Linked DNA regions of Anolis sagrei. The protein of the gene in region 2 purifies or fractionates together with the protein of the main gene of each other region. This does not show direct contact. Links are inferred from orthologs where the notes say so. Each region holds a gene or a part of one and is shown on either strand. Other genes may lie near its edges.

Evidence for each region.
Region 1: the proteins of PRKAR2B (region 2) and AKAP11 purify together in Homo sapiens (affinity purification with mass spectrometry; 3 studies listed by BioGRID and IntAct, counting the BioPlex papers as one, with this or other methods). This does not show direct contact. The link is inferred for Anolis sagrei from reciprocal best matches to the Homo sapiens genes PRKAR2B and AKAP11.
Region 3: the proteins of PRKAR2B (region 2) and CDK5RAP2 purify together in Homo sapiens (affinity purification with mass spectrometry; 3 studies listed by BioGRID and IntAct, counting the BioPlex papers as one, with this or other methods). This does not show direct contact. The link is inferred for Anolis sagrei from reciprocal best matches to the Homo sapiens genes PRKAR2B and CDK5RAP2.
Region 4: the proteins of PRKAR2B (region 2) and AKAP1 purify together in Homo sapiens (affinity purification with mass spectrometry; 3 studies listed by BioGRID and IntAct, counting the BioPlex papers as one, with this or other methods). This does not show direct contact. The link is inferred for Anolis sagrei from reciprocal best matches to the Homo sapiens genes PRKAR2B and AKAP1.

Annotation. Positions count from the first base shown.
Region 1 is NC_090023.1:145,617,853-145,624,981, forward strand, and holds the start of AKAP11 (A-kinase anchor protein 11), read right to left. Parts: upstream 3,004-7,129; 5' UTR 2,785-3,003; intron 1-2,784. UniProt on the Homo sapiens protein: Binds to type II regulatory subunits of protein kinase A and anchors/targets them.
Region 2 is NC_090025.1:83,399,380-83,406,972, forward strand, and holds the start of PRKAR2B (cAMP-dependent protein kinase type II-beta regulatory subunit), read right to left. Parts: upstream 3,012-7,593; 5' UTR 2,786-3,011; coding exon 2,482-2,785; intron 1-2,481. UniProt on the Homo sapiens protein: Regulatory subunit of the cAMP-dependent protein kinases involved in cAMP signaling in cells. Type II regulatory chains mediate membrane association by binding to anchoring proteins, including the MAP2 kinase.
Region 3 is NC_090031.1:14,494,216-14,502,167, forward strand, and holds the start of CDK5RAP2 (CDK5 regulatory subunit-associated protein 2), read right to left. Parts: upstream 3,018-7,952; 5' UTR 2,804-3,017; coding exon 2,751-2,803; intron 1-2,750. UniProt on the Homo sapiens protein: Potential regulator of CDK5 activity via its interaction with CDK5R1. Negative regulator of centriole disengagement (licensing) which maintains centriole engagement and cohesion. Involved in regulation of mitotic spindle orientation.
Region 4 is NC_090031.1:20,968,571-20,975,697, forward strand, and holds the start of AKAP1 (A-kinase anchor protein 1, mitochondrial), read right to left. Parts: upstream 3,010-7,127; 5' UTR 2,859-3,009; intron 1-2,858.

The DNA.
Region 1 (7,129 bases), on a different chromosome or scaffold from region 2:
GCCTGGCTGGTTGCTGCCTGGGGCATCCTTTGTTGGGATATGTTAGCTGGCCCTGGTTGATTCTTGTCTGGAATTCCCCTGTTTTTCAGAGTGTTGTTCTTTATTTCCTGTCCTGATTTTAGTGGGGTTTTTTTCCATACTGGTAGCTAGATTTTGTTTATTTTCATGGTTTCCTCCTTTCTATTGAAATTGTCCACACGCTTGTGGATTCCAATGGCTTCTCTGTCTGTATTATTATCTATCTATCTATCTATCTATCTATCTAAATGCTCTGTTTGTTTTGAGTGACATCATAACTCAAAATCTGCTGGACGAATTGCCGCCAAATTTGGCCACAAGACACCTACTAACCCAAGGAGTGACCATCACTAAAAAAAATGATTTTGTCATTCGGAAGTTGTAGTTGCTGGGATTTATAATTAACCTACAATCAAAGAGCATTCTGAACTCCACCAATGATGGAATTAACCAAACGTCACACACAGGCCTCCCATGACCAACTCCCTTCACCAGGGTAAGAAAACGTAATCAAATCCCTCCTGACAAGGAGCCATCCAGCCATAGATATAGATAGATATATATGATTCACACACACACAGATATAGTATCCTAGATCTGAAAGGGACTCCTAAAGAAGGACAATTATTTATTTATTTATTTATTTATTTATTTAAAGCATTTATATTCCGCCCTTCTCACCCCGAAGGGGACTCAGGGCGTAGCACAACATATAAACTGCAAACATTCAATGCCGAAACATATTAGACCATACACATGCAAAAGCATTAAAACCACTTATCTTGACATTAAAATCCACTACTTAAAACTGTCTGAACAACCATATCAAATTTGGTTGGCATACTAAAGGTTCCTATCGCTGCTTCATTGCACAGTCCCAAACGTGCACAGTCTGCATGTTCCAGAGTAGGCAAACCAGATAATCTCCTCATCAACACTGACAAAGAAACAGCAAGAAATACTACTCACCCAAAAGCATAAAGAAATTACATATATTAGAAACCAACACTTTCTCTTTACTTTATTTTCCAGATCACCAGACTGGGCCATAGCAATGCATGGCAGGGGACGGCTAGTTATTATTATCTATATAAATAAAAATGTAATGTTTGTTTGTAGGATTAACACAACTCAAAACCCACTGGACAAATTGACACCAAATTTGGACGGCATACACCTAACAACCTAATGTATGTCCTTCACTAAAAAAAAAAATTGATTTTGTCATTTGGGAGTTGTAGCTCCTGGGATTTATAATTAACCTACAATCAAAGAGCATTCTGAACTCCATCAATGATGGAATTGAACCAAATGTGGCACACAGGATTCCCATGACCAACAGAAAAGACTAGAAGGGTTTGGTAGGCATTGACCTTGAGTTTGGGAGTTGTAGTACACTTATACCCAGAGAGCACTGTGGACTCAAACAATGATGCATCTGGACCAAACTTGGCACGGATGCTCCATATGCCCAAATATGAACACAGATGGAGTTTGGGGGAAATAGACCCTGACATTTGGGAGTTGTAGTTACTGGGATTTATAGTTCACCTACAATCAAAAAGCATGCTGAACCCCACAAATGACAGAATTGGGGCAAACTTCCCACACAGAACCCCCATACTTAAGGGCATCCAGTCCAACTCCCTTCACCAGGGCAAGAAAATGTATTCAAAGCCCTCCTGATAAAGAGCCATCTAGCCACAGATAAAAAGGTAAAGGTTGTCCCCTGACATTAAGTCCAGTCGTGTCCGACTCTGGGGTTTGGTGCTCATCTCCATTTCTAAGCCGAAGAGCCAGCGTTGTCCATAGACACCTCCAAGGTCATGTGGCCAGCATGGCCGCATGGAGCGCCGTTACCTTCCCGCCGGAGCGGTACCTATTGATCTACTCACATTTGCATGTTGTCAAACTGCTAGGTTGGCAGAAACTAGGACTGACAGCGGAAGCTCACACCACTCCCTGGAATCGAACCTGCGACCTTTTGGTCAACAAACTCAGCAGCTCAGTGCTTTAACCCACTGCGCCACCGGGGGGGCCAAGATATAGATAGATATATATGATTCACACACACACACACAGATATTGTATCCTAGATTTGAAAGGGACCCCTAAAGAAGGACAATTATATGTTGCATGTTCCAGAGAAGGCAGACCAGACAATCTCTATACCAATATTGACAAAGAAACAAGAAGAAATACTGTTTACCCACAAGCAGAAAGAAATTACATATATTAGAAACCAACACTTTCTCGTCACTTTATTTTCCAGATCACCAGACTGGGCCACAGCAACGCGTGGCAGGGGACAGCTAGTTGTTATTATTGTCGTTGTTGTTATTATTACTAAAGTTGTATCCTGAGGCGAAGCTGTGAGACAAGCTGTCAGAGGCTGTCAGACTCTGTTCCTTCGCGGGTATTGGACTTCAACTCCCAGAAGCCTTGGCTGCCTAGGCCGACGCTCAGGGATTCTGGGAGTTGAAGTCCAAAACGCCTGGCAGCCCGTAACCCCTTCGTGGCCGAAGCAATTGGGAGTTGACTCCGGCCCCAAGCGACCTAAAAACGCCTCAACGGCCCGCCTCAGAAATCCTTCCTTTGGGCATTGGTCAAGTATTAACCTTCCCTGGGCTGTGTGTGTGTGTGAGAGAGAGATAACCCGTGAGGGAAATGGGGCGAAGAGGCATGCGGGGCCTGACAGGCCTCCTTCCTTCGGCCGCCACCATTGGGCTCCTTTCCCTTCGTCTTTCTGAGGGGCCGCCGCCTTACCTGCCGCCGGCCAATTGCCTCAGACCTCCGCCGCGCCCTCCTCACCGCAGCCCAAACCACCTCGCCGCCGCAGCTGGGGCCCCTTCGCCACTTCCTCTCGCGAGACTCGTGGCCTCCATCCCCAACTGCCTCTCCGGACGGCGGCCGCCGCGGCCCCCTTCAGTCTCCATCTGCCGCACGCGCCCCCGCCGCGTCGCCTGACGTACCGCGCATGCGCAGGAGCGCCCTTGAGGTGCCACTGCCAGGGCCCGGGCTGAGGAAGAGGACACACCTGGGGCCTTCACTGCAACACGTTACAGCAGGCTTGGGGCAAAACTTGGGCCCTCCAGGTGTATTGGACTTCAACTCCCACAATTCCTAACAGCCTCAGGCCTCTTCCTTTTCCTCCTCAGCCGTTTAAGGAAGAAGCCTGAGGCTGTTAGGAATTGTGGGAGTTGAAGTCCAAAACACCCGGAGGGCCCAAGTTTGCCCCATGCCTGCGTTACAATGTTAGTCCTTAAAAGACCAACATTTCATTAATATCAGCAGATCTGTGTGCAAAGTAACATATATTAGAATATTATATGATATTTCTAGGTGCAAAGATTACTGCAGATGCAGACTGTGGCCAGGAAATCAGATGAAATCTTCTTGGGAAGAGAGCAATGTCCACTCTAAATAAAATAGTAAAGAGCAGAGACATCAGACTGGCAACAAAGATCTGCCTAGTCAAAGCCATGGTATTCCCTGTAGTAAGCTACAGATGTGAGAGCTGGACCTTAGGGAAGGCTGAGCGAAGGAAGATCGATGCTTTTGAGCTGTAGTGCTGGAGGAAAGTGCTGAGAGTGCCTTGGACTGCGAGAAGATCCAACCAGTCCATCCTCCAGGAAATAAAGCCCGGCTGCTCACTGGAAGGAAGGATACTAGAGACAAAGTTGAAGTACTTTGGTCACATCATGAGGAGACAGCAAAGCCTAGAGAAGACAATTATGCTGGGGAAGGTGGAAGGCAAAAGGAAGAGGGGCCAACCAAGGGCAAGATGGATGGATGGCATCCTTGAAGTGACTGGACTGACCTTGAAGGAGCTGGGGGTGGTGACGGCCGACAGGGAGCTCTGGCGTGGGCTGGTCCATGAGGTCACGAAGAGTCGGAGACGACTGAACGAATGAACAACATGATATGCCAATGGTATTGATTCTATATCATTATAGAGTGGCTTTCAAAATCTAGGCCAGGGATCTTCAAACTTTGTAAACAGAGGGCCAGGTCACAGTTCCTCAAACTGTTGGATGGCCGGATTATAATTTGGAAAAAAAAACCATGAATGAATTCCTATGCACACTGCACATCTTATTTGTAGTGCAAAAAACACTTGAAAACAATACAATAATTAAAATAAAAAATTTAACAAATATAAACTTATTAGTATTTCAATGGGAAGTGTGGACCTACTTTTGCCTAATGAGATAGGATTGTTGTTATTGGTGTGTGTTTTCAAGTAGTTTCAGACTTAGGTTGACCCTGAGCGAGGGCCGGGTAAATGACCTTGGAGGGACGTATCTGGCCCCTGGGCCTTAGTTTGAGGACCCCTGATCTAGGTTATCTGAGTCCTCATTGCCATATTCCCAGGGCCCTTCCACATAGCCCTTTATCCCAGAATATCAAGGCAGAAAATGCCACATTATCTGAGTGTGGACTTAGATAACCCAGTTCAAAGCAGATATTGTGGGATTTTCTGCCTTGATATTCTGGTATATAGGGCTGTGATCGGAGGTCACCCGCCCCCCCACCCACCCCTACCCCACCCCCGGAATTCTGAACAAATAGTTCAAAATTAGGGAATTCATAGTTTTGCCAAGGGCATCAGGCTGGAATGATCCCATAATCCCCTATCTCTCCTCCTGTTTTTATGAATGGACTCCGACTACTCAGTGCTCCCCTGAACTTCCATGCACCCACCCCCATGAACTCTTATGTGTTCATATGAACTTTCATGAAATTTATGGGAACTTTTATAAACTTTTGCCAAACATTATGAACTTTTATGGGCTTTTGGGGGGCTTACATGATTTCCCCTTAGACCCTGCATGATTCCCCCTCCCCCCATAAACTCTATGTATGCTCCCATACCCCCATCCCCTGCATCTATGTATGTCTATTAGGCCTGTCGGTTTTAGTTCGTTAATTCGTTATTTCGTAATTTAATCGTTATTTTTACCATATCCGACGCGATTTCAAAACATATTTTCAAACCCGGAAGGGTTTAAAAATATCGAAACAGCAGCCCCATTTTTTTTACGAGCTTCAGCTCGTCTCGTTAATGGGATGGAGGCTGCTGTGCTGCTGGTGCCTGGGAGCCAATCCGGCGCTCCCAAGCACCCAGCAGTAAATGGGGCGGGCGGGGTGAAGGGGCGGCGCGAGCAACACAGCTGGGAGGAGGAGGAGGAGGAGGAGGGCGCAGCAGCCGGAGCCGATTGGATGGCGTGCGCGCTCCTGCGCCCTCCTCCTCCTCCTCCTCCTCCTGGCACTTCCTGCAACACAGCTGGGAGGAGGAGGAGGAGGAGGAGGGCGCAGGAGCGCGCGCGCCATCCAATCGGCTCCGGCTGCTGCGCCCTCCTCCTCCTCCTCCTCCTCCCAGCTATGTTGCAGGAAGTGCCAGGAGGAGGAGGAGGGCGCAGCAGCCGGAGCCGATTGGATGGCGCGCGCGCTCCTGCGCCCTCCTCCTCCTCCTCCTCCTCCTCCTGGCACTTCCTGCAACACAGCTAGGAGGAGGAGGAGGAGGAGGAGGGCGCAGGAGCGCGCGCGCCATCCAATCGGCTCCGGCTGCTGCGCCCTCCTCCTCCTCCTCCTCCCAGCTGTGTTGCAGGAAGTGCCAGGAGGAGGAGGAGGAGGGCGCAGCAGCCGGAGCCGATTGGATGGCGCGCGCGCTCCTGCGCCCTCCTCCTCCTGGCACTTCCTGCAACACAGCTGGGAGGAGGAGGAGGAGGAGGAGGGCGCAGGAGCGCGCGCGCCATCCAATCGGCTCCGGCTGCTGCGCCCTCCTCCTCCTCCTCCTCCTCCCAGCTATGTTGCAGGAAGTGCCAGGAGGAGGAGGAGGAGGAGGAGGGCGCAGCAGCCGGAGCCGATTGGATGGCGCGCGCGCTCCTGCGCCCTCCTCCTCCTCCTCCTCCTCCTCCTGGCACTTCCTGCAACACAGCTGGGAGGAGGAGGAGGAGGAGGAGGGCGCAGGAGCGCGCGCGCCATCCAATCGGCTCCGGCTGCTGCGCCCTCCTCCTCCTCCTCCTCCCAGCTGTGTTGCAGGAAGTGCCAGGAGGAGGAGGAGGAGGGCGCAGCAGCCGGAGCCGATTGGATGGCGCGCGCGCTCCTGCGCCCTCCTCCTCCTCCTCCTCCTGGCACTTCCTGCAACACAGCTGGGAGGAGGAGGAGGAGGAGGAGGAGGGCGCAGGAGCGCGCGCGCCATCCAATCGGCTCCGGCTGCTGCGCCCTCCTCCTCCTCCTCCTCCTCCCAGCTGTGTTGCAGGAAGTGCCAGGAGGAGGAGGAGGAGGAGGAGGAGGGCGCAGGAGCCGGAGCCGATCGGATGGCGCTCTTGCTGTGAGTTTTCAGGCTCTTTTGCTGTGAGTTTTCAGGGCTGTATGTATGACCATGTTCCAGAAGCATTCTCTCCTGACATTTTGCCCACATCTATGGCAGGCCTCCTCAGAGGTCTGTTGGAAACTAGGCAAATGGAGTTTCAGTTTATCTATGGAATGTCCAGGGTGGGAGAAATGAAAGCCATTCAATGCTAATCAAGGTGACCATTACTGCAACATTCACACTTACTAGGCCTGTTTGATCAAGAAAAAATTTGTTTCTAAAATGTTTTGTAAATATTTACGAAATTTCGTAAATAACAAAACATTTTTTTGGAAAGTTTTGTAAATATTTTAAATATCGAAACAAAAAAACACCCCAATTACAAATCGATTTTAGAAACAATTTTTTTCTTGATCAAACAGGCCTAATGTCTATATTAGAAAATATTAAGGAAAACAACCTTTACATGATCCAGCAACTCATGGCTCTTGGAGTTTCCAAACTTCCTGGGCTGATAGTCCCCTAAAAAAGGACTCAACCAGATCCATTTGCATGGACAATAAGTAAATGGCTCTATCTATCTGGACCTCGGAGGGCTGATAGCCAGGCCATCCAGAACAATGGAGTCTATGGACATACTGGATCACCCAACACAAAAAAAAATCTCTCCATCTGTGAGGAACCCGGGGATTTGTCATCAACCTCCCTGCTGTGCCACATCCTGTTCTCCCGAAACTAGCATCAACTTCATCAATGAACTCCATATCACAGGACAGTGTGACAAAGAACCTA
Region 2 (7,593 bases):
GGTTTGCCCAAAGAAAGGCACAACCAAGAGCAGTGTTTCTCAACCTGGGGGTAGGGACCCCTATGGGGGTCGTGAGGGGGTGTCAGAGGGGTCACCAAAGATAATAAGAAAACACAGTATTTTCTGTTGGTCATGAGGATTCTGTGTGGGAAGTTTGGCCCAATTCTATCATGGGCGGGGTTCAGAATGCTCTTTGATTGTAGGTGAACTATAAATCCCAGCAACAACAACTCCCAAATGTCAAGGCCTATTTCCCCCAAAATCCACCAGTGTTCACATTTGGGCATATTGAGTACTTGTGCCAAGTTTGGTTGAGATCCATTATTGTTTGATCCACAGTGCTCTCTGGATGTAGGTGAACTACAACTCCAACACTCAAGGTCAATGCCCACCAAACCCTTCCAGTATTTTCTGTTGGTTATGAGGGTTCTGTGTGCCAAGATTCATTAATTTCAATAGTTGGTGGAGTTCAAAATGCTCTTTGATTGTAAGTTAACTATAAATCCCAGCAACTACAACTCTTAAATGAAAAACTCAATCCCCCCCCCCCCCAAACCCCATCAGTATTCAAATTTGGGTGTAACAGGTATTTGTGCCAAATTTCATCCAGTGAATGAAAATCCATCCTGCATATCAGATATTTACATTACGATTCATAACAGTAGCAAAATTTCAGTTATGAAGTAGCAACAATAATAATGTTATGGTTGGGGGTCATCCAGGGGCGGCTCGTCCATTACGCGAAGTAAGCGGTCGCAGAACACTTTTTGCCAGGGGCGCAGAGGCGCCTCTGTAAATGCCCCTCGACCGCCACTTGAGGAGCGCCCCCTTAGCTCACAACAGCCCTAGCAGTCCGGGGGGAGCCTCGGGTTTCTTGCCTTGCTGCCGGGCGATCCTCTTCCCAAAGGGGCCGGGCCCTTGAGCCTCACCTAGCCCCTCTCGTTCCTGCTCCACCCGGCCACCGGGTGCGCAAGCAGAGCCGGCGCTCAATCATTCTCCGCGTTCGATCCCTTCCCCATGACCGGCTCCCTTTCCCGATCCCCCGGCGCTCCACCCGCCTCCTCTCCTTTCCCCAATCCGTGGGTGGGCCAAGGGGCGGAGGCGTGTCTGAAGGCCCCAGTGTGTGTCCCAAAAGTCACTTCTTCTCCTGACTTTCTCTTCAGCCATTGGGACCGAGAGAGAGAGAGAGAGCCCCTCTGGCTGGAGGTATCTCCCACCTCCGCTCCCACCTTTGTTTTTGCGCCTACCTTCAGGAAAGGTGGGCATCTCCACCTCTATGTATCTCTCTCTCTCTCGGTCCCAATGGCTGAGGAGAAAGACAGGAGAAGAAGTGACTTTTGGTGCACACGCCGGGGTCTTCAGGCACGCCTCCAGACCCAAAGCGGGCCAGGCAAAGGAGCAAGTGCGGCAAGTGTAGTTACTGGGTAGTTACTGCGTCATACAGGGAGCATACCACTCACTTGCTATGTCAGCTCCACTGGCTGCCGATCCAGTTCCGAGCACAATTCGAAGTGCTGGTTTTGACCTACAAAACCCTTTACGGCTCCGGCCCAGCGTACCTGTCCGAACGTATCTCCTTCTACGTCCCACCTCGGAGTTTAAGATCTTCTGGGGAGGCCCTGCTCTCGGCCCCACCTTTATCACAAGTGAGACTGGTGGGGACAAGGGACAGGGCCTTCTCGTTGGTGGCCCCTCGCCTATGAAATGCACTCCCCGGGGAGATTAGGTCATCAACATCCCTCCTCTCCTTCAGAAGGAAGTTAAAAACCTGGATGTGGGACCAGGCCTTCGGGTAAGCTGGCAGTGGACAAAAGACAATGACGACCAGCGTAGGAAAGGATAATGACGATGCTAGACGGATCATGGATTTATGAATCGATGAACATTGGCCACAATATGATTTTATTGCCGCGACTGTATTGTTTGATTGTTTTAATTAGTTATAATTGTTGACAATTGTATGTTGTATTTTATGAAGTGTCAGGCATCGAATTGTGCCTTTTGTAAGCCGCCCTGAGTCCCCCCTAGGGGGTTGAGAAGGGCGGGGTAGAAGCACCCCAAATAAATAAATAAATAAATGCTGGGATGTATAGTTCACCTACAATCAAAGAGCATTCTGAACTCCACCAATGATGGAATTGAACCAAATATGGCACACAGAACTCCCACGAGGAACAGAAAATATATATCAATGATTGGTTGGGGGGGGGGGGGCAGGCGCCAAAATACTGTTTGCTTACCATTGAAAATTACTTAGGGCCGCCTCTGGGGTCACCACAACATGAGGAACTGTATTAAGGAGTCCCAGCATTAGGAAGGTTGAGAAACACTAACCTAGAGGGTGGGAGAGGGGGCGTGGTCTAACTAGACCCTGGTCACGCCCCTGGGAGTGGGCGGGGCCTCCTCTTCATGGCCCCGCCTCCTCCCACACACTCACACTCACACACAGAGGGGAGGGGGAGGCTTTTTTCTGCGTCTCACCGGGGAAGCCCTCCGCCTCGCCGTCCTCGTCGCCTTCGCCGCTCTCGGAGTCAGTCTGCATGGGCTCCTCGGCGAAGTTGACCCCGCCGCGGGGCGCCTGCTTCCCCCTCGGGGTCCCCGGCGAGGCGGCATGGAGCCGGCCGGCGTCCCCTCCCTCCTCCTCTTCCTCCTCCTCCTCCTCGGCCTTGAGGCGCCCGAAGTACTGGAGGGCGAAGTCCAGCAGGTCCCCTGGCTGGCTCCTCAGCACCTCCACGGTGAAGCCTTGCAGCAGCTCCGTCAGCCCCTCCGGGACGGAGATGCTCATGCCGGGCGCTGCGAAGGGGCCGCTCCGCGAGTCAAGCGTCAAGGAAGCATGAAGGAGCCACTGCGGTGGCCGGCCCCGCTCCCGCCGCTGCCGCTGCCGCTGCTGCTTCCCTCAGGCGCCCTCGAGGAAGAAGGAGCCTCGCGCTGGCTCGCTCTGTCTCTCCCGCACGCGCGCGCTCCTTCTCTCTCTCTCATACACACACACACACCCGGCTCCGCGCGCCTCGAAAGCCTCCCGCGCGCGCGCCTGCGCACGTGACCCGCGGAACCATGGCAACCCCCCGCCGCGGCCAAGGAAAGGAGAGGGAGAGCGCGCGCGCGAGAGAGAGGGAGGCTAGGCTTTCACCAGAGCGAGGAGAGAGGGGCCACGCGCGAGAGAGACAACCAAGTGAAAGCCTATTCGTACTATTATATCGCATTATAAGTGCTGCTGTTCAGCTGCCACTGCCATGGTGCCTCCTTATGGAAACCTGATATTTAGGGAGAAGTACAACAGGCCCTTGGAACCCTTCCACGCAGACATATCAGAATATCAAGTCCATTTCCAGATAATCCAGTTCAGTGTGGATTTTATACAGCTGTGTGGAAGGGGCCTAAATGTCATCAGTTGGGGGGCCCTCTCCCCAGCACCAACTGCCACTCAATGTGGATTTTGTACAGCTGCGTGGAAGGGGCCTAAATGTCATCAGTTGGGGGGCCCTCTCCCCAGCACCAACTGCCACTCAATGTGGATTTTGTACAGCTGTGTGGAAGGGGCCTAAATGTCTTCAGTTGGGGGGCCCTCTCCCCAGCACCAACTGCCACTCAATGTGGATTTTGTACAGCTGTGTGGAAGGGGCCTAAATGTCTTCAGTTGGGGGGCCCTCTCCCCAGCACCAACTGCCACTCAATGTGGATTTTGTACAGCTGTGTGGAAGGGGCCTAAATGTCTTCAGTTGGGGGGCCCTCTCCCCAGCACCAACTGCCACTCAATGTGGATTTTGTACAGCTGCGTGGAAGGGGCCTAAATGTCATCAGTTGGGGGGCCCTCTCCCCAGCACCAACTGCCACTCAATGTGGATTTTGTACAGCTGCGTGGAAGGGGCCTAAATGTCATCAGTTGGGGGGCCCTCTCCCCAGCACCAACTGCCACTCAATGTGGATTTTGTACAGCTGTGTGGAAGGGGCCTAAATGTCTTCAGTTGGGGGGCCCTCTCCCCAGCACCAACTGCCACTCAATGTGGATTTTGTACAGCTGTGTGGAAGGGGCCTAAATGTCTTCAGTTGGGGGGCCCTCTCCCCAGCACCAACTGCCACTCAATGTGGATTTTGTACAGCTGTGTGGAAGGGGCCTAAATGTCTTCAGTTGGGGGGCCCTCTCCCCAGCACCAACTGCCACTCAATGTGGATTTTGTACAGCTGTGTGGAAGGGGCCTAAATGTCATCAGTTGGGGGGCCCTCTCCCCAGCACCAACTGCCACTCAATGTGGATTTTGTACAGCTGTGTGGAAGGGGCCTAAATGTCTTCAGTTGGGGGGCCCTCTCCCCAGCACCAACTGCCACTCAATGTGGATTTTGTACAGCTGTGTGGAAGGGGCCTAAATGTCATCAGTTGGGGGGCCCTCTCCCCAGCACCAACTGCCACTCAATGTGGATTTTGTACAGCTGTGTGGAAGGGGCCTAAATGTCTTCAGTTGGGGGGCCCTCTCCCCAGCACCAACTGCCACTCAATGTGGATTTTGTACAGCTGTGTGGAAGGGGCCTAAATGTCATCAGTTGGGGGGCCCTCTCCCCAGCACCAACTGCCACTCAATGTGGATTTTGTACAGCTGTGTGGAAGGGGCCTAAATGTCTTCAGTTGGGGGGCCCTCTCCCCAGCACCAACTGCCACTCAATGTGGATTTTGTACAGCTGTGTGGAAGGGGCCTAAATGTCTTCAGTTGGGGGGCCCTCTCCCCAGCACCAACTGCCACTCAATGTGGATTTTGTACAGCTGTGTGGAAGGGGCCTAAATGTCTTCAGTTGGGGGGCCCTCTCCCCAGCACCAACTGCCACTCAATGTGGATTTTGTACAGCTGTGTGGAAGGGGCCTAAATGTCTTCAGTTGGGGGCCCTCTCCCCAGCACCAACTGCCACTCAATGTGGATTTTGTACAGCTGTGTGGAAGGGGCCTAAATGTCATCAGTTGGGGGGCCCTCTCCCCAGCACCAACTGCCACTCAATGTGGATTTTGTACAGCTGTGTGGAAGGGGCCTAAATGTCTTCAGTTGGGGGGCCCTCTCCCCAGCACCAACTGCCACTCAATGTGGATTTTGTACAGCTGTGTGGAAGGGGCCTAAATGTCATCAGTTGGGGGGCCCTCTCCCCAGCACCAACTGCCACTCAATGTGGATTTTGTACAGCTGTGTGGAAGGGGCCTAAATGTCTTCAGTTGGGGGCCCCTCCCCCCAGCACCACTTGCCACTCTGAGCCAGAGTGAAGTGAGGGGGGGGGCAGGGGGCAGTTCCACCTTGTGGCCTGTGCTATGCTAATAATATAATCTATATAAATAAAAAATGTAATGTTTCTTTGTGGGATTCACAAAACTCAAAAACCAGTGGGCCAATTGGCACCAAATTTGGACAGCATACACCTAACAAACCAATGTATGTCCTTTATTCAAAAATTTTTGATTTGGGAGTTGTAGTTGCTGGGCTTTATAGTTCACCTACAATCAAAAAGTATTCTGAACTCCACCAATGATGGAATTGAACCAAACGTGGCACACAGAACTCCCATGACCAATAGAAAACACTAGAAGGGCATTGACCTTGAGTTTTGGAGTTGTAGTTCAGCTACATCCAGAGAGCACTGTGGACTCAAACAATGATGAATCTGGACCAAACTTGGCACAAGCACTCAATACGCCCAAATATGAACACAGATGGGGTTTGAGAGAATAGACCTTGACATTTGGGTGTTGTAGTTACTGGGATTCACAGTTCACCTACAATCAACGAGCATTCTGAACCCCACGAACAACAGAATCGGGCCAAACTACCCACGCAGAACCCCCATGACCAACAGAAAATACTTAAGGCCATCCAGTCCAACTCCCTTCACCAGGGCAAGAAAACATAATCAAAGCCCTCCTAACAAAGAACCATCCAGCCATAGGTAGATAGATAGATAGATAGATATTATTCACACACACAGAGATATAGTATCCTAGATTTGAAAGGGACCCCTAAAGAAGGACAATGATATGTTGCATGTTCCAGGATGGGCAAACCAGACAATCTCCACATCAACAATGGCAAAGAAACAACCAGAAATGCTGTTTACCCACAAGCATAAAGAAATTACATATATTAGAAACCAACATTTTCTCATTACTTTATTTTCTAGATCAACAGACTGGGCCACAGCAATGCATGGCAGGGGACAGCTAGTATAATATAATGTATTGTCGAAGGCTTTCATGGCCGGAATCACTGGGTTGTTGTAGTTTTTTTGGGGGGGGGGGGGCTATATGGCCATGTTCTAGAGGCATTCTCTCCTGACATTTCGCCTACATCTATGGCAAGCATCCTCAGAAGTAGTGAGGATGCTTGCCATAGATGCAGGCGAAACGTCAGGAGAGAATGCCTCTAGAACATGGCCATATAGCCCAAAAAACCTACAACAACCCAATATAATATAAAGCAATATAATATATTGTATATACATATAATATTTATAATATTATGTAATGCAATATAATACTAACAATAATATATATTGTGAGATTTTCTGCCTTGATATTCTGGGATATAGGGCTGTGTGGAAGGGCCCTGGGATAGTCCAGACTTCCATATATTCCAGTTCAAAGGAGAAAATGAGTGATTTTATTCAGCTGTGTGGAAAAAGCCCCAAAATATCAAAGCAGATAATCCACAATATCTGCTTTGAACTGGATTATATGAGTCCACACTGCCATATAATCCAGTTCAATGTGGATTTTATACAGGAGCTTTGGTATCTGCTTGATGTGGTTCCAGGACCATCAGTGGATACCCAAATCCCATTATATACAATGGCTTATTATTATTAGGCCTGTTCAGTCAATTAAAAATGTTTCAATACTCATGAAATTAGGGGATGAGGGAAAATATTTTATTTTTCTTCTTTTGTATAAATTTTTATTGTGCTAGCTTGGGTACCCATCGTTGCCCAGGTTATTTGAAAAAGTCAGTTTTTCAATTGTACAAAATGCACAATGTGTATGAACTACAACTGACATAACGCCAGGTTAACCCTGAGAAATTTCACCAGTACTTAAAATTTTGTTATGTTGGGCAAATTTGCTCTAGATACATCATCAGTTTTTCCTGCCAAAGTGGAGTATCTTGCATTTGTCCCTGTTGAACTTCATTTTGTTAGTTTTGGCCCATCTCTCTAATCTGTCAAGATCATTTTGAATCCTGCTCCTGTCCTCTGGTGTATTGGCTATCCCTCCCAATTTGGTGTCGTCTGCAAACTTGATGATCATGCCTTCTAAGCCTTCATCTAAGTCATTAATAGAGATGTTGAACAGACCGGGCCCAGGACGGAACCCTGCGGCACTCCGCTCGTCACTTCTTTCCAGGATGAAGAGGAAACATTGGTGAGCACCCTCTGGGTTCGTCCATTTAACCAATTACAGATCCACCTCACCGTAGTTTTGCCTAGCCCACATTAGACTAGTTTGTTTGCCAGAAGGTCATGAGGGACCTTGTCGAAGGCCTTACTGAAATCCAGGTACGCTACATCCACGGCATTCCCCGCATCTACCCAGCTTGTAACTCTATCGAAAAAAGAGATCAGATTAGT
Region 3 (7,952 bases), on a different chromosome or scaffold from region 2:
ACAAAAATGACGATTCTGGAGGATGGCCACTATTTTCAAAGTAAGAACAGCACAATGAAACAGGAGTAACACTGTGTTGTCAAAGGTTTCATGGCTGGCATCAATGGGTTGCTGTGAGTTTTCCGGGCTGTCTGGCCGTGTTCCAGATGGCAAGCTATTTAACCTCAGCAGACTGAAAGCCAAAACCAAGATTACAACAACATCCGTTATAGAACTCCAGTACGCTAATGACAACGACGTCTGTGCGCATTCAGAAGAAGACCTACAAGCTACTCTACACATCTTCGCAGAAGCTTACGAGAAGCTTGGCCTGTCATTAAACATTGATAAACCAAAGTGCTCTTCCAGCAGTCACCAGCCATCCCCTCTCCAATGCCAGAAATACAGCTTAATGGTGTAACATTAGAAAATGTTGACCATTTTCGCACCCTTGGCAGCCACCTCACCACAAAAGTCAACATCGACACCGAAATACACCGCCTGAGCTCTGCGAGTGCAACATTTTTCTGAATGAAGCAGAGAGTGTTTGAGGACCAGGACACCCGTAGGGATACCAAGGTGCTTGTTTATAAAGCTATTGTCCTCCCAACCCTGCTATATGTCTGCGAAACATGCACTGTCTACAGACGTCACATGCAAGTCCTAGAATGATTCCATCAGCGCTGACTCCGAAAAATCCTGCAAATCTCTTGGGAAGAGAAGCGGACAAATGTCAGCGTGCTGGAAGAAGCAAAGACCACCAGCACTGAAGCGATGGTCCTCCGCCATCAACTCCGCTGGACCGGCCACGTTGTCCGGATGCCTGATCACCGTTTCCCAAAGCAGTTGCTCTACTCTGAACTCAAGAACTGAAAACGGAATGTTGGTGGGCAGGAAAAGAGATTTAAAGATGGGTTCAAAGCCACCTTAAAAACTCTGGCATAGACACTGAGAACTGGGAAGCCCTGGCCCTTGAGCGCTCCAGCTGGAGGTCAGCTGTGACTAGCAGTCCTGTAGAATTTGAAGAGGCACGAATGGAGGGCGAAAAAGAGAAATGTGCCAAGAGGAAGGCTCATCAAGCCAACACCAACCAGGACTGTCTTCCATCTGGAAGCCAATGTTCTCACTGCAGGAGAACATGCAGATTAAGAATAAGGCTCCACAGTCACCTACGGGCCCACCGCCAGTACACTGATCTTGGAAGACAATCCTACTCGGACAATGAGGGCTCATCTAAGTAGGTAAGTAAGCTATGGACAAGTCTACACAGCTGTGGACAAGTCTCCAGCTTGAGGTCAGCTGTGACCAGCAGTGCTGCAGAATTTGAAGAGGCACGAATGGAGGGAGAAAGGGAGAAATGTTCCAAGAGGAAGGCGCGTCAAGCCAACCCCAACCGGGACCGTCTTCCACCTGGAAGCCAATGTTCTCACTGCGGGAGAACATGCAGATTAAGAATAGGGCTCCACAGTCACCTACGGACCCACCGCCAGGACACTGATCTTGGAAGACAATCCTACTCGGACAATGAGTAAGCTATGGACAAGTCTACACAGCTGTGGACAAGTCTCCAGCTGGAGGTCAGCTGTGACCAGCAGTGCTGCAGAATTTGAAGAGGCACAAATGGAGGACAAAAGAAAGAAACATGCCAAGAGGAAGGTGCGTCAAGCCAACCCCGAGGACCGGGACCACCGTCCACCTGGAAACCAATGCCCTCACTGTGGGAGAAGATGCAGGTCAAGAATACAACTCCCTTGCTGCACCAGCTCCACTGGCTGCCGATTTGCTACCGGGCTTAATTCAAAGTGCTGGCGTTGGCCTATAAAGCCCTAAACGGTTCTGGCCCAAGCTACCTATCCGAACGTATCTCTGCCTATGAACCCACCAGGACTTTAAGATCTTCTGCGGAGGTCCTGCTCTCAATCCCGCCTGCATCGCAAGCATGGCTGGCGGGGACGAGGGACAGGGCCTTCTTTGGTGGCCCCTCGGCTGTGGAACGCCCTTCCCATGGACATTAGATCAGCCCCTTCGTTAATCGTGTTTTGAAGAAAACTAAAAACCTGGCTGTTTGAACAGGCGTTCAGATAAATAGTGCAATTGAACGATGAATATAGGAACGGATTTATGGATGACGAATTGGATCACGATTTTAGTTACGAGATGCTAATGTGTTGTTATTGATGTGTCATTATTTGTATACTAGGCTGTTAAGGGTTTTAAATATTGTATGTTGTACGATTGACTTTTTTGCTCTTGTTGTGAACCGCGTTGAGTCGCCTACGGGCTGAGAAACTGCGGTATACAAGCAAAGTAAGTAAATAAATAAATAAGAAATAAGAATAGGGCTCCACAGGCACCTGCGGATCCACAAGAATACTCGGCCAACAAAGGATAGCCTAAGTAAGTACCAGTAGTATTGTATTATTATATTGCAATATTATTATTGTTATCTATTATTATATTGTATTATTAGTTTCATATTCTATTACATTATATACTAAAAGCAAACCAATCCAAGTCTCAGGTAGACTGTGCCTGTGTCTGGACGCTCTATTGTATAATACTATGTTACTCTCAGGTAGACTGCGCCTATGCCTGGAGGCTCTACTGAACCCATTTCCCTTCCCTTGGAAAGACTTCTCTTCTCTCACGCCTGCTTCTTTGTCCTCCGACTGGAATTCAGTCTTGGGCCCGAAGGAGTTAATTCCCCCCTCCCCCCCCCCCTTTTTCGCGGCCTAGCGCCTTTTGAGGGCCAAACCCGCCCTCGTCCTCACCTGCCGTTGAAGCCCAAGGGCAAGGTGGGGTCCTCCGCCGGGAGGGAGTCCATGGCGGAGGGAGAGAGAGAGGGGACGAGAGCGGGCGGCTGCGGCTCCTCCGCCGGTGGCCCGGGCTGCTCTGCTCCCGACTTTGGCGGCGGGCTCGGAATTCAAACCGCCACTCAGCCCGACGCCATCTTCCCGAAGCCAACGAAGCCGCCCTCAGAAGGGCAGCCGCAGACCGCCTTAGGCCGCGTGCCCTCTTCCCTCTCCAGAAACGCCTCGGGCGCCATCTTTGTTGAGGGAATCGATGTGGCAAAAGTGGGCGGGGAAGGAGGAGGGGCTCGAGAATCATAGACTCACTGAAACATAGAGACCACCCTGTCCAACCAGGAAAAGTACAAAAGGGTCCCTGACAGATGGCCATCCAGTCTAAATAATTAATAGTAATAATAGAGTTTTAGGCAATCAGCTCTCTATAATCCGCTGTGGAGCTGAGCGCCATTTTGGAAAAGCCCGTCGGCCATCTTGAAGCCGACGCAGCCGCCCTTGAAAGGGCAACTGCACTCAAGGGTAGGGCGAGCTCTTTCTTTCCTGGGGGAATTGTTCTTTGAGGGTGCTTCGCGCGCCATCTTTGTTGAGGGACTCAGGGATGCCAGGGGAGGGGAGGCCCGGATGTTGGAAGCGCCTGCGCAGTGAGCGATAGGAAAGGGCTAAGGACCGCCCCTTCACAGCCAGCTGAATGTGAAAAGAGCCATTCTTTCCTTCATACGCCTTCCCCTTCCTTCCTTTTCTTCCATCCTTCCTTTTCTATTTCCTTCTTCCATTCTTTCCTTCATACACCTTCCCCTTCCTTCCTTCTTCCATTCTTTCCTTCATAACCTTCCCCTTCCTTCCTTCCTTCCTTTTCTATTTCCTTCTTCCATCCTTTCCTTCATACACCTTCCCCTTCCTTCCTTCCTTTTCTATTTCCTTCTTTCATCCTTTCCTGCATACACCTTCCCCTTCCTTCCTTCCTTCCTTTTCTATTTCCTTCTTCCATTCTTTCCTTCATAACTTTCTCCTTCCTTCCTTCCTTCCTTCCTTCCTTGCTTCCTTCCTTCCTTTTCTATTTCCTTCTTCCATTCTTTCCTTCATAACTTTCTCCTTCCTTCCTTCCTTCCTTGCTTCCTTCCTTCCTTTTCTATTTCCTTCTTCCATTCTTTCCTTCATACACCATCCCCTTCCTTCCTTCCTTCCTTTTCTATTTCCTTCTTCCATTCTTTCCTTCATAACTTTCTCCTTCCTTCCTTCCTTTTCTATTTCCTTCTTCCATTCTTTCCTTCATACACCTTCCCCTTCCTTCCTTTTCTATTTCCTTCTTCCATTCTTTCCTTCATACACCTTCCCCTTCCTTCCTTCCTTCCTTTTCTATTTCCTTCTTCCATTCTTTCCTTCATAACTTTCTCCTTCCTTCCTTCCTTCCTTCCTTGCTTCCTTCCTTCCTTTTCTATTTCCTTCTTCCATTCTTTCCTTCATAACTTTCTCCTTCCTTCCTTGCTTCCTTGCTTCCTTCCTTCCTTTTCTATTTCCTTCTTCCATTCTTTCCTTCATACACCATCCCCTTCCTTCCTTCCTTCCTTTTCTATTTCCTTCTTCCATTCTTTCCTTCATAACTTTCTCCTTCCTTCCTTCCTTTTCTATTTCCTTCTTCCATTCTTTCCTTCATACACCTTCCCCTTCCTTCCTTCCTTCCTTTTCTATTTCCTTCTTCCATTCTTTCCTTCATACACCTTCCCCTTCCTTCCTTCCTTCCTTTTCTATTTCCTTCTTCCATTCTTTCCTTCATAACTTTCTCCTTCCTTCCTTCCTTCCTTCCTTGCTTCCTTCCTTCCTTTTCTATTTCCTTCTTCCATTCTTTCCTTCATAACTTTCTCCTTCCTTCCTTCCTTCCTTGCTTCCTTCCTTCCTTTTCTATTTCCTTCTTCCATTCTTTCCTTCATACACCATCCCCTTCCTTCCTTCCTTCCTTTTCTATTTCCTTCTTCCATTCTTTCCTTCATAACTTTCTCCTTCCTTCCTTCCTTCCTTCCTTCCTTTTCTATTTCCTTCTTCCATTCTTTCCTTCATACACCTTCCCCTTCCTTCCTTCCTTCCTTTTCTATTTCCTTCTTCCATTCTTTCCTTCATAACTTTCTCCTTCCTTCCTTCCTTCCTTCCTTCCTTGCTTCCTTCCTTTTCTATTTCCTTCTTCCATTCTTTCCTTCATAACTTTCTCCTTCCTTCCTTCCTTCCTTGCTTCCTTCCTTCCTTTTCTATTTCCTTCTTCCATTCTTTCCTTCATACACCATCCCCTTCCTTCCTTCCTTCCTTTTCTATTTCCTTCTTCCATTCTTTCCTTCATAACTTTCTCCTTCCTTCCTTCCTTCCTTGCTTCCTTCCTTCCTTTTCTATTTCCTTCTTCCATTCTTTCCTTCATAACTTTCTCCTTCCTTCCTTCCTTCCTTGCTTCCTTCCTTCCTTTTCTATTTCCTTCTTCCATTCTTTCCTTCATACACCATCCCCTTCCTTCCTTCCTTCCTTCCTTCCTTCCTTCCTTCTTCCATCCTTTCCTTCATAGACCTTCCCCTTCCTTCCTTCCTTCCTTTCTTCCTTCCTTCTTCCATCCTTTCCTTCATACATCTTTCCCTTCGTTCCTTCTCTATTTCTTTCTTCCATTCTTTTCTTCATACACCTTACCCTTCCAAAGTGCTGGCTTTAGCTTATAAGTCCCTAAACCAATGTTTCTCAACCTGGGGGTTGGGACCCCTGTGGGGGTTGCCGGGGGTATCAAAGGGGTTGCCAAAGAACATTAGAAAACAAGAGTACTTTCTGTTGATCATGGCAGTTCTGTGTGGGAAGTTTAGCCCAATTCTATCGCTGGTGGAGTTCAGAAGGCTCTTTGATTGTAGGTGAACCATAAATCCCAGCAATCAGTGATGGATCTGGACCAAACATGGCACCAATACTCAATATGCCTAAATGTTAACAGTGGTGGAGTTTGGGGGAAATAGACCTTGACATTTGGAAGTTGTAGTTGCTGGGATTTATAGCTCACCTAAAATCAAAGAACATTCTGAACCCCACCGATAGAATTGAGCCAAACTTCCCACACAGAATCGCCATGACCAACAGAAAATACTGTGTTTTCTTATGGTCTTCGGAGACCCCATTAATAGCCCTCTTGTGATCCCTTCAGGGGTCCCGACCCCCAGGTTGAGAAATGCTGGCATAGCCTCTGGAGACATCTCCCCCAAGACTACCTCCACCGGCCTATTGGAAGCCAGCTGGGAGGAGATCCCCGCCTACGTCACCACTGCTTCCTCCAATCAGGGTGTGCACCGGCTAGGACCTGCCTCCTGACCAATCAGAGGCCTGGAGAACGCCAGCTGGCTTCTCAGCGACAACCAATCAGGGGAAAGGGAGGGAGTTTCAAAACATAGCAATGTTGATTCATGAGAATCTTCATGTATAAAAATGCCTGTTTATGGTTATCATCCTTTTACACTTGTCCCCTTTGTGCAGATTGACAGAATAAAGTCTCTGTCATTTGCCTTCAACCTGTTGAGCTTCCCGATTCCTGACTCAAAACATCCTTGGATAGTGAAGCTTGCCAGGCATCCCTCGGGATCCGCGGTGCTTTGAAAAACCGCCAATTTTCAGCATCAAAGGGTCTGTGGGCCAGATTTGGTCCAGATCCACTAATCCATGAAGGAGCCATTGTGGGACAAACCAACATACATACATACCTTGATTTTTAGCTTCCTCTCTCTCTCTCTCTCTCTCTCTCTATATATATATATATATATATCAATTTTTCTTCAATTTTTTAGCCAGTTGCTTGAGTGTTCCAGTTAACTGAGATGAATATTTATGTATGATTATGTCGTACTGCCGAGACCTGAAAGAGGGGACGGTGATGGTATCATTTTGAAGCAGTTAACAAATTTGCCCAGCGACGCTAATCGGATTGGCTCTTTTTGTTGAGTCTTATCTTAATGAGTTGTCCATTTCAGGCGATTATTAAGCCCCTCTTAAACCGGGAAATTGCAGCCGACGACAGCAAAAGTTCAGCGTCTGGGCATTGTTTGTCTGTTTGGAAGGCAGGTTCAGCCACGAAAGGCCAGCATCTGTGGGTCGGGTGGAACGAGTCGAGAGCTGGGAAGGAATGCTTTTAGGATTAGGATTAGTGCATTGCAGATACAAGCAGATGCTGTCTGGCTGCTGGCAAAATTGGAGCTTTCCTTGGATCCCCTTCCCAACACCAGCCTTTTCCATTGCAGTTTCTGTGGGTTCTCCTTTTTATGTATTTTTGCCTATCCTTTTCTCTAACCTGGTGCCCTCTAGGACAACGGCTGGATCCGTACTGACATATAATGCAGTTTGGAACTGCATTATATAGTCAGTGTAGACCCATATGATGCAGTTCAGTGTAGTTGAATTACATTATATGCATTGGCACTGACCCAGTAATGCATTGTAAGGGTCTACGCTGTCCCTATAGTGCATTACATGAGTCAACACTGATCCTATAATGCATTATATGAGTCTACACTGTCCCTCTCAAGCATTATATGAGCCTACAGTGACCTATAATGCATTATATGAATCTATGCTGTCCCTATAATGCATTGTATGGGTCTGCGCTGTCCCTATAATGCATTATATGAGCCTACACTGACCTATAATGCATTATATAAATCTATGCTGGCCCTATAATGTACTATATGAGTATGCACTGACTCTGTAATGCATACTGACTATAATGCACTATATGAATCTACACTGTCCCTATAGTGCATTATATGAACCTACATTATCCATATAGTGCATCATACGGGTCTACACTGATCCTATAATGCATTATATGAGTCTACACTGGCCCTATAATGCACTATATGAGTATGCACTGACTCTGTAATGCATACTGACTATAATGCACTATATGAATCTACATTATCCCTATAGTGCATTATATGAGTCTACATTATCCCTATAGTGCATCATAGGAGTCTACACTGATCCTATAATACATTATATGAGTCTACGCTGGCCCTATAGTGTATTATAGGAGCATACACTGACCTATAATGCATTATATGAATCTACGCTGGCCATATTGTGCATAATATGAGCCTAAACTGGCCTATAATGCATTATATGAATCTACGCTGGTCCTATAATGCATTATATGAATATACA
Region 4 (7,127 bases), on a different chromosome or scaffold from region 2:
AGTGTGCATAGGAATTCATTCATTTTTTTCTCCAAATTATAATCTGGCCCTCCAACAGTTTGAGGGACTGTGACCTGGCCCTCTGCTTAAAAAGAGGCAAATAATAAAACATCAAGCAAAAACAATAAAACTCTAAAAACAATGACAACAATATTACAATTATAATATTGTATTATTATTACTAGTATTATATTGCATTACATTATGTGAGAGCCGTTCAGCAGTGGAACTCTCTGCCCCGGAGTGTCATGGAGGCTCCTTCTTTGGAAGCTTTTAAACAGAGGCTGGATGGCCACCTGTCAGGGGTGATTTGAATGCAATATTCCTGCTTCTTGGCAGAATGGGGTTGGACTGGATGGCCCATGAGGTCTCTTCCAACTCTAGGATTCTATGACTCTATGGTTATAATATTATAAATATTATATGTATATACAATATGCATTATATGAATCCATAGATATATAAACCCCACTTGCCTAGTTTCCAACAGACCCCTCAACCTCTGAGGATGCCTGTCATACATGTGAGGGAAACATCAGGAGAGAATGCTTCTGGAAGAGAATTCTGGAACAGCCTCAGCCACAGCAGTGTGTGGCAGGTGACGACTAGTATATATACGAGCATATAAGCCCACTTACCTAGTTTCCAACAGACCTGACAACCTCTGAGGGGAATTCCAGACAGGAAACAATCAGGACCAGCTAACACCTCCCAACCTGGGATTCCTCCCCAGGCAGGAAGCAGCCAGGCTTTGAAGCTGCAAGGCCATTCTTGTCTGCTGCAACCTTCAGCAGACAAGAGACCTTTCTCCCCTCCTCACAACCTCTGAAGAGGCCTGCCAAAGATGTGGGCGAAACGTCAGGAGAGAATGCTTCTGGAACAGACTGAGTCACAGCAGTGTGTGGCAGGTGACGACTAGTATATATACAAGTACATAAACCCCACTTACCTAGTTTCCAACAGACCTGACAACAACCTCTGAGGGGAATTCCAGACAGGGAACAATCAGGGCCAGCTAACACCTAAAAACCTGGGATGCCTCCCCAGGCAGGAAGCAGCCAGGCTTTGAAGCTGCAAGGCCATTCTTGCCTGTTGCAACCTTCAGCAGACAAGAGACCTTTCTCCCCTCCTCACAATCTCTGAGGGGAATTCCAGACAGGAAACAATCAGGGCCAGCTAACACCTCCCAACCTGGGATTCCTCCCCAGGCAGGAAGCAGCCAGGCTTTGAAGCTGCAAGGCCATTCTTGCCTGTTGCAACCTTCAGCAGACAAGAGACCTTTCTCCCCTCCTCACAATCTCTGAGGGGAATTCCAGACAGGAAACAATCAGGGCCAGCTAACACCTCCCAACCTGGGATTCCTCCCCAGGCAGGAAGCAGCCAGGCTTTGAAGCTGCAAGGCCATTCTTGTCTGTTGCAACCTTCAGCAAAGAGACCTTTCTCCCCTCCTCACAACCTCTGAAGAGGCCTGCCAAAGATGTGGGCGAAACATCAGGAGAGAATGCTTCTGGAACAGACTGGGCCACAGCAGTGTGTGGCAGGTGACAACTAGTATATATACGAGTATATAAACCCCACTTACCTAGTTTCCAACAGACCTGACAACCTCTGAGGGGAATTCCAGACAGGTAACAATCAGGGCCAGCTAACACCTCCCAACCTGGGATTCCTCCCCAGGCAGGAAGCAGCCAGGCTTTGAAACTGCAAGGCCATTCTTGTCTGCTGCAACCTTCAGCAGATAAGAGACCTTTCTCCCCTCCTCACAATCTCTGAGGGGAATTCCAGACAGGAAACAATCAGGGCCAGCTAACACCTCCCAACCTGGGATGCCTCCCCAGGCAGGAAGCAGCCAGGCTTTGAAGCTGCAAGGCCATTCTTGCCTGTTGCAACCTTCAGCAGACAAGAGACCTTTCTCCCCTCCTCACAATCTCTGAGGGGAATTCCAGACAGGAAACAATCAGGGCCAGCTAACACCTCCCAACCTGGGATTCCTCCCCAGGCAGGAAGCAGCCAGGCTTTGAAGCTGCAAGGCCATTCTTGTCTGTTGCAACCTTCAGCAAAGAGACCTTTCTCCCCTCCTCACAACCTCTGAAGAGGCCTGCCAAAGATGTGGGCGAAACATCAGGAGAGAATGCTTCTGGAACAGACTGGGCCACAGCAGTGTGTGGCAGGTGACAACTAGTATATATACGAGTATATAAACCCCACTTACCTAGTTTCCAACAGACCTGACAACCTCTGAGGGGAATTCCAGACAGGTAACAATCAGGGCCAGCTAACACCTCCCAACCTGGGATTCCTCCCCAGGCAGGAAGCAGCCAGGCTTTGAAACTGCAAGGCCATTCTTGTCTGCTGCAACCTTCAGCAGATAAGAGACCTTTCTCCCCTCCTCACAATCTCTGAGGGGAATTCCAGACAGGAAACAATCAGGGCCAGCTAACACCTCCCAACCTGGGGTTCTTCCCCAGGCAGGAAGCAGCCAGGCTTTGAAGCTGCAAGGCCATTCTTGTCTGCAGACAAGAGACCTTTCTCCCCTCCTCACAACCTCTGAGGAGGCCTAGATGTGGGCGAAACGTCAGGAGAGAATGCTTCTGGGACATAGCTATACTGCCCAGAAAACTCACAGCAACCCAGTGATTCCGGCCATGAAAGCCTTAGACAACACAGTAATGATATTAATAGTAATAGAATACCAATAGAGGGGCCTCCTGCAAACTTGGTTGGAAATCCAAGCCTTGTATGTAGTATCACAACAATACTAAAGGGCTGAGACTGACACACACACCCCCCCCCCGCCAAGGGGCAAAGGCAGAAGAACCGGAAGGGCGCGCAAGGGCCCCAAAGCAGGCCCCTCTCACCGTCCTGGGAGGCTTCTGCTCGGCCTGGGCCCGGGCCCCGCTCCGCTCCACGTGCCGCCTTCCTTCCCTGCCTCCCGCCCGCCGGGGCCCTTCAGAACGCTGAGGCATCCGACCAAAATACACAGCGTCCTCTTGGCCCCGCCCACCGCGCCTTTAAGGCCCCGCTCGCCCCGCCCCCTCCGCCCCACCCCCTCCCAGCCCGCGCGAGACTTCCCTTTCCCTCCCTGGGAGCAGGACAAGGCTGCCCATTGCGCATGCGTGACCCGACTCAGGCTCAAAGGAATGACGAGGAGGGACCGCGCAACGATTTCACCCGCTTTCTCATGACCCAGTGCTATGGGACCCTGGGAGATGTAGTATAATTCCACAGTGTTGAGCCATGGCAGTCAAAAGTGGTATCAAACTGAATTAATTCTACACATGGGCTTCCAGAACTGATGGAGTAAGACGAGAAAGGACCATACAATAGGTTGTTGTAGGTTTTTTCGGCCTGTATGGCCATGTTCTAGAGGCATTTTCTCCTGACGTTTCGCCTGCATCTATGGCAAGCATCCTCAGAGGTAGTGAGGTCTGTTGGAACTAGGAAAATGGGTTTATATATCTGTGGAATGACCAGGGTGGGGCAAAGGACTCTTGTCAGAAAGGGTGAAACCATTAAATGAACAAAATCTGGCTAAAAAAGATAAAGGTAGTCCCCTGACATGAAGTCCAGTCATGTCTGACTCTGGGGTGTGGTGCTCATCTCCATTTCTAAGCCGAAGAGCCAGCGTTGTCCGTAGACACCTCCAAGGTGTCTGATTCCCATGTCTGATCCCACAGCAAGCTGGCTCCAGGAAAGGCAAAAGCTGCACATCGCAAGTGTTGAACCTGACTCAGCACATAGAAGATGGCTTTGAAAGTCAGCAGATCACAGGAGCTATATTCATAGACCTGTCCGCAGCCTATGAGACTGTGAACCACCGCCTCCTCTTGAGAAAAATGTACAATATCACAAAGGACGACCACCTCACCCGCCTCATAGGAAACCTGCTACAAAACAGGAGCTTTTTTGTTGAGTTCCAGGGCCAGAGAAGCAGATGGCGGAAACAGAAGAACGGCCTGCCTCAGGGGAGCGTGCTTGCTCCATCCATGTTCAACATCTACACAAATGACCAGCCACTGCCAGAAGGGACAGAGAGTTTCATCTATGCTGATGATCGTGCCATTACTGCTCAAGCAGGGAGCTTTGAGATGGCAGAACAGAAGCTCTCCGAAGCTCTAGGTGCTCTTATTTATTTATTTATTTATTTATTTGCTATATTTATATACCGCCGTTTCTCAGCCTAGCCGGCGACTCAACGCAGTTTACAACATAATATAACAATCAACAGTATACAGTTAAAAGCATAAAAAACATAAAAAACATAAAAACACAATTCATACATCAATACCAATCCAGTTCGACTCTTAACTAAAAACGTGATCCAGTTCGTCATCCATGTTGCCAGTCCTTTAGTCAGTTACCATTCGTTGCATTGGGTTAACCAAATGCCTGCTTAAACACCCAGGTCTTCAATCTTCTTCGGAATATCATCAATGAAGGGGCTGATCTTACCTCCAAGGGCAGGGCGTTCCATAGCCGTGGGGCCACCACAGAAAAGGCCCTGTCTCTCGTACCCGCCAGCCGCACTGCCCATTACAGGGAAAACCAGCTGATCCCTAATCCATCTAAAACACAGACATGCGCCTTTCACCTTAAGAACGGACAAGCATCCCGAGCTCTGAGGATGACCTGGGAAGGAATCCCACTGGAGCATTGCAGCGCACCCAAATACCTGGGAGTCACTCTGGACCGTGCTCTTACCTACAAGAAGCACTGCCTGAACATCAAGCAAAAAGTGGGTGCTAGAAACAATATCACACGAAAGCTGACTGGCACAACCTGGGGATCACAACCAGACACAGTGAAGACATCTGCCCTTGCGCTATGCTACTCTGCTGCTGAGTACGCATGCCCAGTGTGGAAAACGTCTCACCACACTAAAACAATGGATGTGGCTCTTAATGAGACATGCCACATTATCACGGGGTGTCTGCGCCCTACACCACTGGAGAAATTACACTGCTTAGCCGGTATTGCACCACCAGACATCCGCCGGGAAGTAGCAGCCAATAGTGAAAGGACCAAGGCAGTGACATCTCCAGCTCATCCCTTGTTTGGTATCAGCCAGCATGTCAACGACTCAAATCAAGAAATACTTTTCTTAGATCTACAGAGACTCTCGCTGGAACACCTCAGCAAAAGTGGCAGGCCCAAACCCAGCACCTCAATCCGTGGGTGATACCAGATGAGAGACTCCCACTTGGGCACACAGAAGACTGGGCGACTTGGAAGGCACTGAACAGACTGCGCTCTGGCACCACGAGATGCAGAGCCAATCTTAAGAAATGGGGCTACAAAGTGGAATCCACGACATGCGAGTGCGGAGAAGAGCAAACCACTGACCTCCTGCTGCAATGCAACCTGAGCCCTGCCACATGCACCATGGAGGACCTTCTTGCGGCAACTCCAGAAGCACTCCAAGTGGCCAGATACTGGTCAAGGGACATTTAATCAGCTACCAAGTTTGCAAAATTTGTTTTTTTTAATCTGTTTGTTTGTTTTGTTCTGCTAGAAATGTAATACAATGTTCTGGTTGCGGATGACACGATAAATAAATAAATAATCTCCAAGGTCATGTGGCCAGCATGACTGCATGGAGCACCGTTACCTTCCCGCCGGAGCGGTACCTATTGATCTACTCACATTTGCATGTTTTCAAACTGCTAGGTTGGCAGAAGCTAGGGCTGACAGCAGAAGCTCACGCCGCTCCCGGAATCGAACCTGCAACCTTTTGATCAACAAGCTCAGCAGCTCAGTACTTTAACCCACTGCACCACCGGGGGCTTACCATTTCAATGGTAAGCAAACAGTATTTTGGCACCCCCCCCCCCCAAACCAATCATTGATATATATTTTCTGTCTGTTGTGGGAGTTGTGTGTGCCATATTTGGTTCAATTCCATCATTGGTGGAGTTCAGAATGATCTTTGATTGTAAGTAAACTATACATCCTAGTAACTACAACTCACATATGTCAAGGTCTATTTCCCCCCAAGAGTGCGCCTGAGCAAAATCAACTATACTGCAAATGTTTACTTTGCGTATTGGGTTGAGCCACCCCTGGGTCTAGGCCAGATATGGGCAAACTTGGGCCCTCCAGGTGTTTTGGACTTTAACTCCCAGAACTTCGAGTTCATAGAATCCTAGAGTTGGAAGAGACCTCGTGGGCCATCCAGTCCAATCCCATTCTGCCAAGAAGCAGGAAAACTGCATTCAAATCACCCCTGACAGATGGCTATCCAGCCTCTGTTTAAAAGCTTCCAAAGAAGGAGCCTCCACCACAATCCGCGGCAGAGAGTTCCACTGCTGAACAGCTCTCACAGCCAGGAAGTTCTTCATGTTCAGATGGAATCTCCTTTCTTGTAGTTTGAAGCCATTGTTCCATTGTGTCCCAGTCTCCAGGGCAGCAGGAAACAAGTTCGCTCCCTCCGCCCCATGACTCCCTCTCACATATTTATACATGCACCTCATCATGTCTCCTCTCAGCTTTCTCTTCTGCAGGTTAAACATGCCCAGTTCTTTAAGCCGCTCCTCATAGGCCTTGTTTTCCAGACCTTTGATCATTTGAGTCGCCCTCTGAACACATTCCAGCTGGTCAACCTCTCCCTTCAATTGTGGTGCTCAGAATTGGACACAGTATTCCAGGTGTGGTGTAACCAAGGCAGAATAGAGCATGGGGAGCATGAGTTTGCAGATGACACCAAATTGGGAGGGAGAGCCAAGACTCCGGAAGACAGAAGCAGAATTCAAAGTGATCTTCACAGATTAGAAAGATGATTGGCCAAAACTAACAAAATGAAGTTCAATTGGGACAAATGCAAGAGACTCCACTTAGGCAGAAAAACGAAATTCAAAGATACAGAATGGTGGATGCGTGGCTCGAGAGTAGTATGTGTGAAAAAGATATTGCGCTCCTTGTGGACAGCAACTTAAACATGAGCCAACAATGTGATGCAGCAGCAAAAAAAGCCAATGGGATTTTGGCCTGCATCAATAGGAGCATAGTGTCTAGATCCAGGGAAGTCATGCTCCCCATGCTCTATTCTGCCTTGGTTAGACCACACCTGGAATATTGTGTCCAATTCTGGGCACCACAATTCAAGAGAGATATTGACAAGCTGGAATGTG